Saccharomyces cerevisiae S288C: one gene and its partner. Changing the gene in region 2 together with the main gene of any one other region gives a genetic interaction. Each region holds a gene or a part of one and is shown on either strand. Other genes may lie near its edges.

Region 1 (3,757 bases), on a different chromosome or scaffold from region 2:
TACATGACAATAAACATTATGAAATTTTTTGTGAAAGATGTATAAATTTATAAAAAAAAAAAAAAAGTTACTTCCTCCACTTCGTTAGCTCATATTAGTTTCTTTTATTCCCAGACTTTCTGCTTTTGATAATAATCTAGCAAAATAGAAAAGGCATGACTATAAACCAAAACCACCATTAGAATAGGCCATTGGTTTTATATCTGGGTGCTCAACAGCTTCGAATGTCTCAATTATTAGATTTTGGTCGTCATTCCTGCCAGCCTGTAAAATACCATGGCCTGGTACAACATGAATAACACCCCCAAGATTACCTTGGCTATCACAATAGTTTGGAGCACTGAAAACTGTCATTAATTTACCCTTCTGCTCGAATTGCACACCACCCATTCTTAACTCGTGAGATCTAAAAATCTTGCGCAATTTGTTGTTTCTTAGAAATCTATCTGTAATGTCGGGTCCAAAAGCATGTCCTAAACCACGCTGAGAAGGACCCATCCCGTTGGCTTCTTGTGGGTCCGCCCATAGAAGTTCCATAAAGGCGCCATCTCTAGGTGGTTGGGCAAATCTATCAATATTCTTGAAATCAGACAAAGTTGCTGAAGGATCACTTGGTAAACCACCATGCATTACAAGGTAATCATTATTAATTAAGGTAGCCAATGGAAGGCTCTCAAAACTTTGTGCAAACATGTTAAATATCCTTTGTGAATATTTGTATTTACACTCATCTTCAAACCCATAGATTTTGTTCATATTATCACTCTCATGATTACCTCTGTTCAAAAAGAAATTATTTGGATGTAATATTTTCAAACAGTAGAATAATAGTGCAACTTCACACGACCAAGAACCACGGTCGACAAAATCACCATTGAATAGATAAGTGTGCTTAGGACCTACTTTACCAAACTTGCGAAATAAATTCAAAACATCATAAAATTGGCCATGCGTATCACCACATACTGATATCTTAACATCAGGAGTAGAGTTATTTTCTAGTTCTACCATAGATGGCTCTTGACGAAATAAGGTATCAGCATGAGAGATAATAGCTGCAACGTACTTTTTTGGTAAATATTTTCCCTTTAGGAAAAGATCGTTAACCATTTTGGAAATAAACTCTTGAGACATGTTCTTGATCTTTGCACCTTTAAAGGCATTCTTATCGTCATACAGCTGTTCAAATTCTAACTTTGGACCTTCATAATTGGCTAAATCTGCATTAGCATCAAATGAACTCAAGTTCAAAGTCTGACACAAACTGATCTTGGCTTCATTTTCTGCGCCTCCGATAGCTTTCCTAAATCTTTCTTCTCTAATGAACCTATCACATGTAAGTAACGCCTTAGTAGCAGCCGGATCATTGGGCTTCGCCTTTAGAAGCACATTCAAATCTTTCCTAGCCTTTTTAAATTCTAGCAGAGCCATGCAGGATAATGCACGTCTATGATAAGCTTTGATATTTTTGGGATCCAGTTTAATGGCTTCATCACAGTCATTTAAAGCGCTTTGAAAGTTATCTACCTTAAAGTGAGCAAATGCTCTGTTCGAAAAATAGATAGACTGTGTAGAATCTAAATCGATCGCCTCTGTATATTTTTCAATGGCCTTTAAAAAATGTTTTTCCTTCACAAAAACATTTCCTTCGTTCTTTCTTTCAAGTGCCTTCGCGCGATCTGCTGCTGTGGGTGTTGACATATTCGAGATATTTGATTATACCAAGGCAAGCGTTATTTCTTGCCTCTAAAATTGTTAAAGTTCTGTGTCAAGCTCTATAAGCTGTTTTCGCCAATTTTCTTACCTCATCTGTGAAATTTTTCAGTTTCCCGCCGTCGTTTTTTTCCCTGGTTTAGCGTTTTAACGGAAAAAGAAATACATACATACAATGATTGAAAAAATATTTTCATAAAGAAGAAAATGAGAAGGAACTTTTGAGGACTAGAAGTGTTCCTGATAATTGTCTCAGCCAGAATTTTCAGTGGCCAAGGTACGAACAAGAAACTGCTAAAAGGAAAAAAAATACTCAGAATAACAGAAGATGACAGACAGTATTGTGGAACCCCAACAATTATCTCAAAATTTACCTATTTCTTAAGTATAAACAGTACACTGCATCAGTGGTATTAGATTTGTCATGGTGTAAAATTTTATGATAAAAAAATACAACATGGCGGGCGTAAAATAAAATACATATTCGTAATCCTGGAATATTACGCCAACTACAACCAATAACTTATGATTATATTACCAGAATATTATCATGTATGGCTCTCAAAATATGACATAAATGGTTTCTATTAAAAGCATCATCAATTCAATGAAGCTGAAATTTCAAGGATTGGTGATGTAATAGAACAATGAGCGGCGATATCATAGAACGAAAAAAGAAGTAATCGTCATTTTTTGTAGCACTCTTATTTCCTTTTTTAGAGTTCTAATCCTCAAGGTGAAACCGTAACATATGCATATACTTAACGATACCGCCTTCTTTGAAAATTAGAAGCCTTATATCTATTTCGAACGCACATATGTTGTCATACACAATGCGACACATGAAAATACTACTCTTTACACCTGTATTATCAAACTATTAATCAGTGACTTCCGAAAAAAATAGGTCTCTTGGCCCAGTTGGTTAAGGCACCGTGCTAATAACGCGGGGATCAGCGGTTCGATCCCGCTAGAGACCATTTACTTTTTAGAATGCAAATATAAGATCCCGATAAATCATAGAACCACCACTTACTTATTCACTTATGTGGTCCTTCCTGCTGTGGGCAGAGAGCGATTTGCACGTACAAAGCGATCAAATTACGAACAAAACAATACATAAGAGGTTTGGACACGTTCTTAAGGCTAACTCCACATTGCGATAACAAGATTAAAGTGAGCTCCTGCTCATTCCTAATTGGAACTCATCATGCCTCCCATCAAGGTGGAGCCTGGATTTTACTAAAGAAACCGTTCGAACGGCTCTGTATTTACTAAGAGGGGGATATATCAAATCGTGGAAAACATGAGAGAACAGTCTCGTTGCGTGCAACAGCCGCTATCCTGCTGCTCTCTGCATAACTGGACCTTGCGTATTGGGTTCATTCTTTTGGCTTTGTGAAACGATTCACAAAGCCATACGTCCGTAGTATGGACCCTGCAGGAATGGTCTACATTTTCTATCTACTAGTAAAGCTTTATTCACATATGGGTGCCGCACGGCGCGGGTTTTTGCAAATTTTCTTAGCATTGACTCATGGCAAGATTTCTCCAGAAAATCAGTAAAGCCTCATCCAGCCTCTCTTCTTGAAAAAATTATGACTTTGAATCGCATATTTCAAAGATTTGCCACTTGCTTAGTTTCATTTATTCTAATTTAACTTTTATACTATTTTTTTTGCTTCCCAGTTAAGCTCACCAAAACACAAATACTCACTACAATACAATATGTGTGGTATCTTTGCAGCCTTCAAGCATGAAGATATTCACAACTTCAAACCAAAAGCTCTACAACTATCTAAAAAAATCAGACACCGTGGCCCAGATTGGTCAGGAAATGCCGTTATGAATTCCACCATTTTCGTTCACGAGAGGTTGGCTATTGTTGGTTTAGACTCCGGTGCCCAGCCAATCACTTCAGCTGATGGCGAATATATGCTTGGCGTTAATGGTGAGATCTACAACCACATCCAACTAAGGGAGATGTGCTCTGATTACAAGTTTCAAACTTTCAGTGACTGTGAACCCATCATACCGTTATATT
Region 2 (3,757 bases):
TTTATATAAAAATGTATAAACATACTTGCATTATTGATGTCCCATAAGGGGTGAGAAAAGACAAAAATGGAAACAGGGGAAAAGAAGAAGAGTAAAAAAAGGATTATTTTAGGAGAGAAAGGGGATTAGAAGAACATCGGGCATAAACCTTTGAGCATCATCCTTTATTGATGTTTGACACCTTGCGATTGATGAAAAATATTGATGATATTAAGGTATTTCTGATAGCCACTGCCCCGTCCCTTGAAGCGGCCTTCCGTCGAGGCCTTGGCAACCGTGTCTGGGTGTGTGATATATTACATCAGAGGAAATAAAAGCTTGAGCGGCTAAACTCCCTTAGCTCAGGGGTGGTCTGGCCAGGAATTTTCAGTGGCCATTTTTCCTGTTCCGGGTCCGGCCAATCTGTGCCGGTTTTCTCTAGAGGAAAAAAAAAAGCATGCGGGGTAATGATGTAGAAGATATACAAGCGGGTTAAACTACATTAGTTATGAGTGCTAGAAAGCAAGCGAAGGATAATAGAAGAGGGCTATTCTATGTAAGTATGAGGAGACACAAATGGCGGCTTTTCATATTTTCTTCTGCAATTTCATATAGAAAAGGTGGTAGTCGTCCAGATCATAAACAATTTTGTCTAACTTGATGTAGTCGGGCAGTGACTCGTTGATGCTTAGTAGTTTTTGGAAGGATTGGTTCTGATAATTTTTGGTAAAAAAGGTCATCGAGAACTCTCTTGGTTGAAAAACGTTCAGAATATGTAGAAGAACGTCCAAGTTGTCTTGCTTCCCTTGGGAAATGTCAAATACGGGTATGTTACTTTCGAAAGAGGCGTAAGACCAACCCTTTTCCGGAGTCACGTGCAGGGTGTAATAGTATTTTTCAGCGAGAATCATATTGGATGAGTATCCACATGGCGTGAACGCAAATGCATCGTGGTGAAATGATAAATCGGAGTCTTGGGCCGAGTTGACATATATTTCGTCAAGCCTTGTATTTTTAGTCATTTGGTAGCCGAGGTTGTGGCCCTTATCTTCGTTTGGCTCCACGAGAGCGGTTGTGGATGCCTCAGGCCCGCAAACAAACTTACTAGCGCATTCTGGGTCCAGCTCCGTCATCAGTACTTCGAAAGTTTCGTCGTCATCCTCGATGTACTCCTTTCCCTTAGGTGTGGAGCGGTCCGTCTCGGTGACGTACAGGTTCCAGTGGTTGCTCTTGTCATTTCTTCCCACGGAATAACTTTTACCATTGTCGAAAAATTTGTTCAAATAGTCGACTTCGTCAGCCCAGTTTTGATGGATAGCGGCTTGCTTACAGGGGAAAAGGAAACATCGTCTAGAATAAAACACTTTAAATGGTTTGTACTTGCCCCCTTGTGTTGTGCGGAAAGCCCACGATAACTCTTGCTCAACGATCTGGAAAAGCTTTTCGAGACAGAACAATGTGGTTGTAGTACCGCACGTCTTCATCGTCAATTTGTGATCGAAGACGAAGAGGGAAGACTCACTCAACAAAAAGGCATCCAGTTCTTTAGTCTTCTTCATGGAAAGAACTTCGCATTTCACTAATTTCAAAATCTCGATCCATCTATCCATGCCAATATTTCTTAATGTCTTTTCGGTCGTGATGGACTTCTTGTGAGGGAAGAACCAGATTTCCAGCAACTTCTCGGGACCCTCGAACGCATCCGTTGAGTCTAAAGTGGCTGATAGTTCGTGGTCAATGTAGTTGTGGTTAGTCAATTCTTTTATGGTGACAGTCATTCTATGGTCCGCCTATTTGCGTAAGACACTATATGAAAACCTAAAAAATATAAAAAAGAAGCTACAGTACAGTAATTGATTAACCTGGAAGAAAAAAAAGAAAAAAAGAGTTGATGCAAGGAGCGAGCTGTAGCGAATACAATATATACACGTATAGATATGCAGAGATGCTTTTAGTCGATTAGCAAAGTTTATTCGATGCCTAAATACCGGAGAACCGTGTTTGGAATTTTTTTTCTTCGAGTGGAAAAAAGTGAAAATTTCCAAAGTCAATCATTGTGTACGTACGCTGAAATTGGATGCAGAAGAGGTAAAAGGCGAAGGAAAAGAGGGCGAGGGTAAAAAGCCTGATTGCCAAACCATGGTGCCCAATTTATTGGATATTACTACTGATGGAAGGCTACATATCTCTGGCGCTTTCTATCAGCTGTCATCGATTTGAAATTCTTCTAGCCCTAGGAACGCCATTATGGGGCTTATCCGGGTAGCCAGTTGGCGGTTTTAGTTTTTTCACTTCTTGATTTTTTTCTAGTTCGAAGAATTTTTTCCACTGATGATTGAGCTATAAAAGAGCCTGATTAAGATGAAGAGCTCCGATTCTCTTCGTTAACGGAGCATCAAACATGACGTTAGCGTCAAGTAACCTACGATATTTGTGCAACAGACATGATGGAGTACCCTCATGCTTTGGCGCGTGCGCATCTATATAAGGTTAGGGACTGCAAAAGAAGCGGCGAGGCAGCCCACATCAAGTGGAACTACACAGACTTCCTTGTCGCGATACTACGGTCCCAAGAGCAATCCTAACAAGCAATTACATATTCCCCCGCTGAACCTGTACAGTCCACGGATGGTGCAGAAGTTATATGATTTGGGGGAAGACGCTTTTTCACATCTTCTTGCATGATAAGAGTAGTAGTAACTAAGTAATATGATTCAGTCAGTCTCTAGTTAATATAATTAGGCATTACCCTACATTGTGGCGGCCTCTTTTTTATTTCGAATCGGGCCTTCCTTCCACCCCGGCCCCGGTTGCGTCGATCAGAAAATTATATTATGGATGAGGATGATGAAGGTGCTTAACCTTTACAGTCAAACTTTTAATAGTCAACCATTCACAAGGACTAGGAATTTGTCTCTGGAAACAGCTGGTTCCACAAAGAAGTACTTCCACGACATTGCTATATACTTGTGCTGGTATATTTTTCTTTGTTAGTTAAACCCCATTTTTATAAGCGTATCGTTTCGTATAGTGCCGTACTCAAAGATCAAGGATTAAAACGCTATTTCTTTTAAATCTGCTATGTCTGCTGCTCCTGTCCAAGACAAAGACACTCTGTCCAATGCCGAGCGTGCGAAGAACGTCAACGGGTTGCTTCAGGTGCTCATGGACATTAACACTCTGAACGGAGGGAGCTCCGACACTGCTGATAAGATAAGAATTCATGCCAAAAACTTCGAGGCAGCTTTGTTCGCAAAGAGCTCTTCAAAGAAAGAATACATGGACAGCATGAACGAAAAAGTTGCTGTCATGCGCAACACGTACAATACGAGGAAAAACGCCGTTACTGCTGCTGCCGCTAATAACAACATTAAACCCGTGGAACAGCACCATATTAACAACTTGAAAAATTCTGGCAACAGCGCCAATAATATGAATGTCAATATGAATCTAAACCCACAGATGTTCTTGAATCAGCAGGCTCAGGCAAGGCAACAGGTTGCGCAACAATTAAGAAATCAACAACAACAACAACAACAGCAGCAGCAGCAACAGAGGCGTCAATTGACTCCTCAACAACAACAATTAGTGAACCAGATGAAAGTGGCACCTATTCCCAAACAATTACTGCAAAGAATTCCTAACATTCCACCCAATATCAACACCTGGCAGCAGGTCACTGCTTTGGCTCAACAAAAGCTATTGACACCTCAGGATATGGAAGCTGCGAAGGAAGTCTACAAGATTCACCAGCAGTTGCTATTCAAAGCAAGGCTAC

The links. A genetic interaction does not mean that the proteins touch.
Region 1: mutations in SPE2 (region 2) and PPT1 together harm fitness more than expected from each alone (negative genetic interaction), as found in Saccharomyces cerevisiae (one large-scale study listed by BioGRID).

What each region holds. Positions count from the first base shown.
Region 1 is NC_001139.9:736,503-740,259, forward strand, and holds PPT1 (protein serine/threonine phosphatase), read right to left. Parts: upstream 1,702-3,757; coding exon 160-1,701; downstream 1-159. Other genes in the region: ASN2 (asparagine synthase (glutamine-hydrolyzing) 2), read left to right, coding at 3,442-3,757. UniProt on the Saccharomyces cerevisiae protein: Protein phosphatase that specifically binds to and dephosphorylates the molecular chaperone Hsp90 (HSC82 and HSP82). Dephosphorylation positively regulates the Hsp90 chaperone machinery.
Region 2 is NC_001147.6:231,880-235,636, forward strand, and holds SPE2 (adenosylmethionine decarboxylase SPE2), read right to left. Parts: upstream 1,758-3,757; coding exon 567-1,757; downstream 1-566. Other genes in the region: GAL11 (Gal11p), read left to right, coding at 3,061-3,757.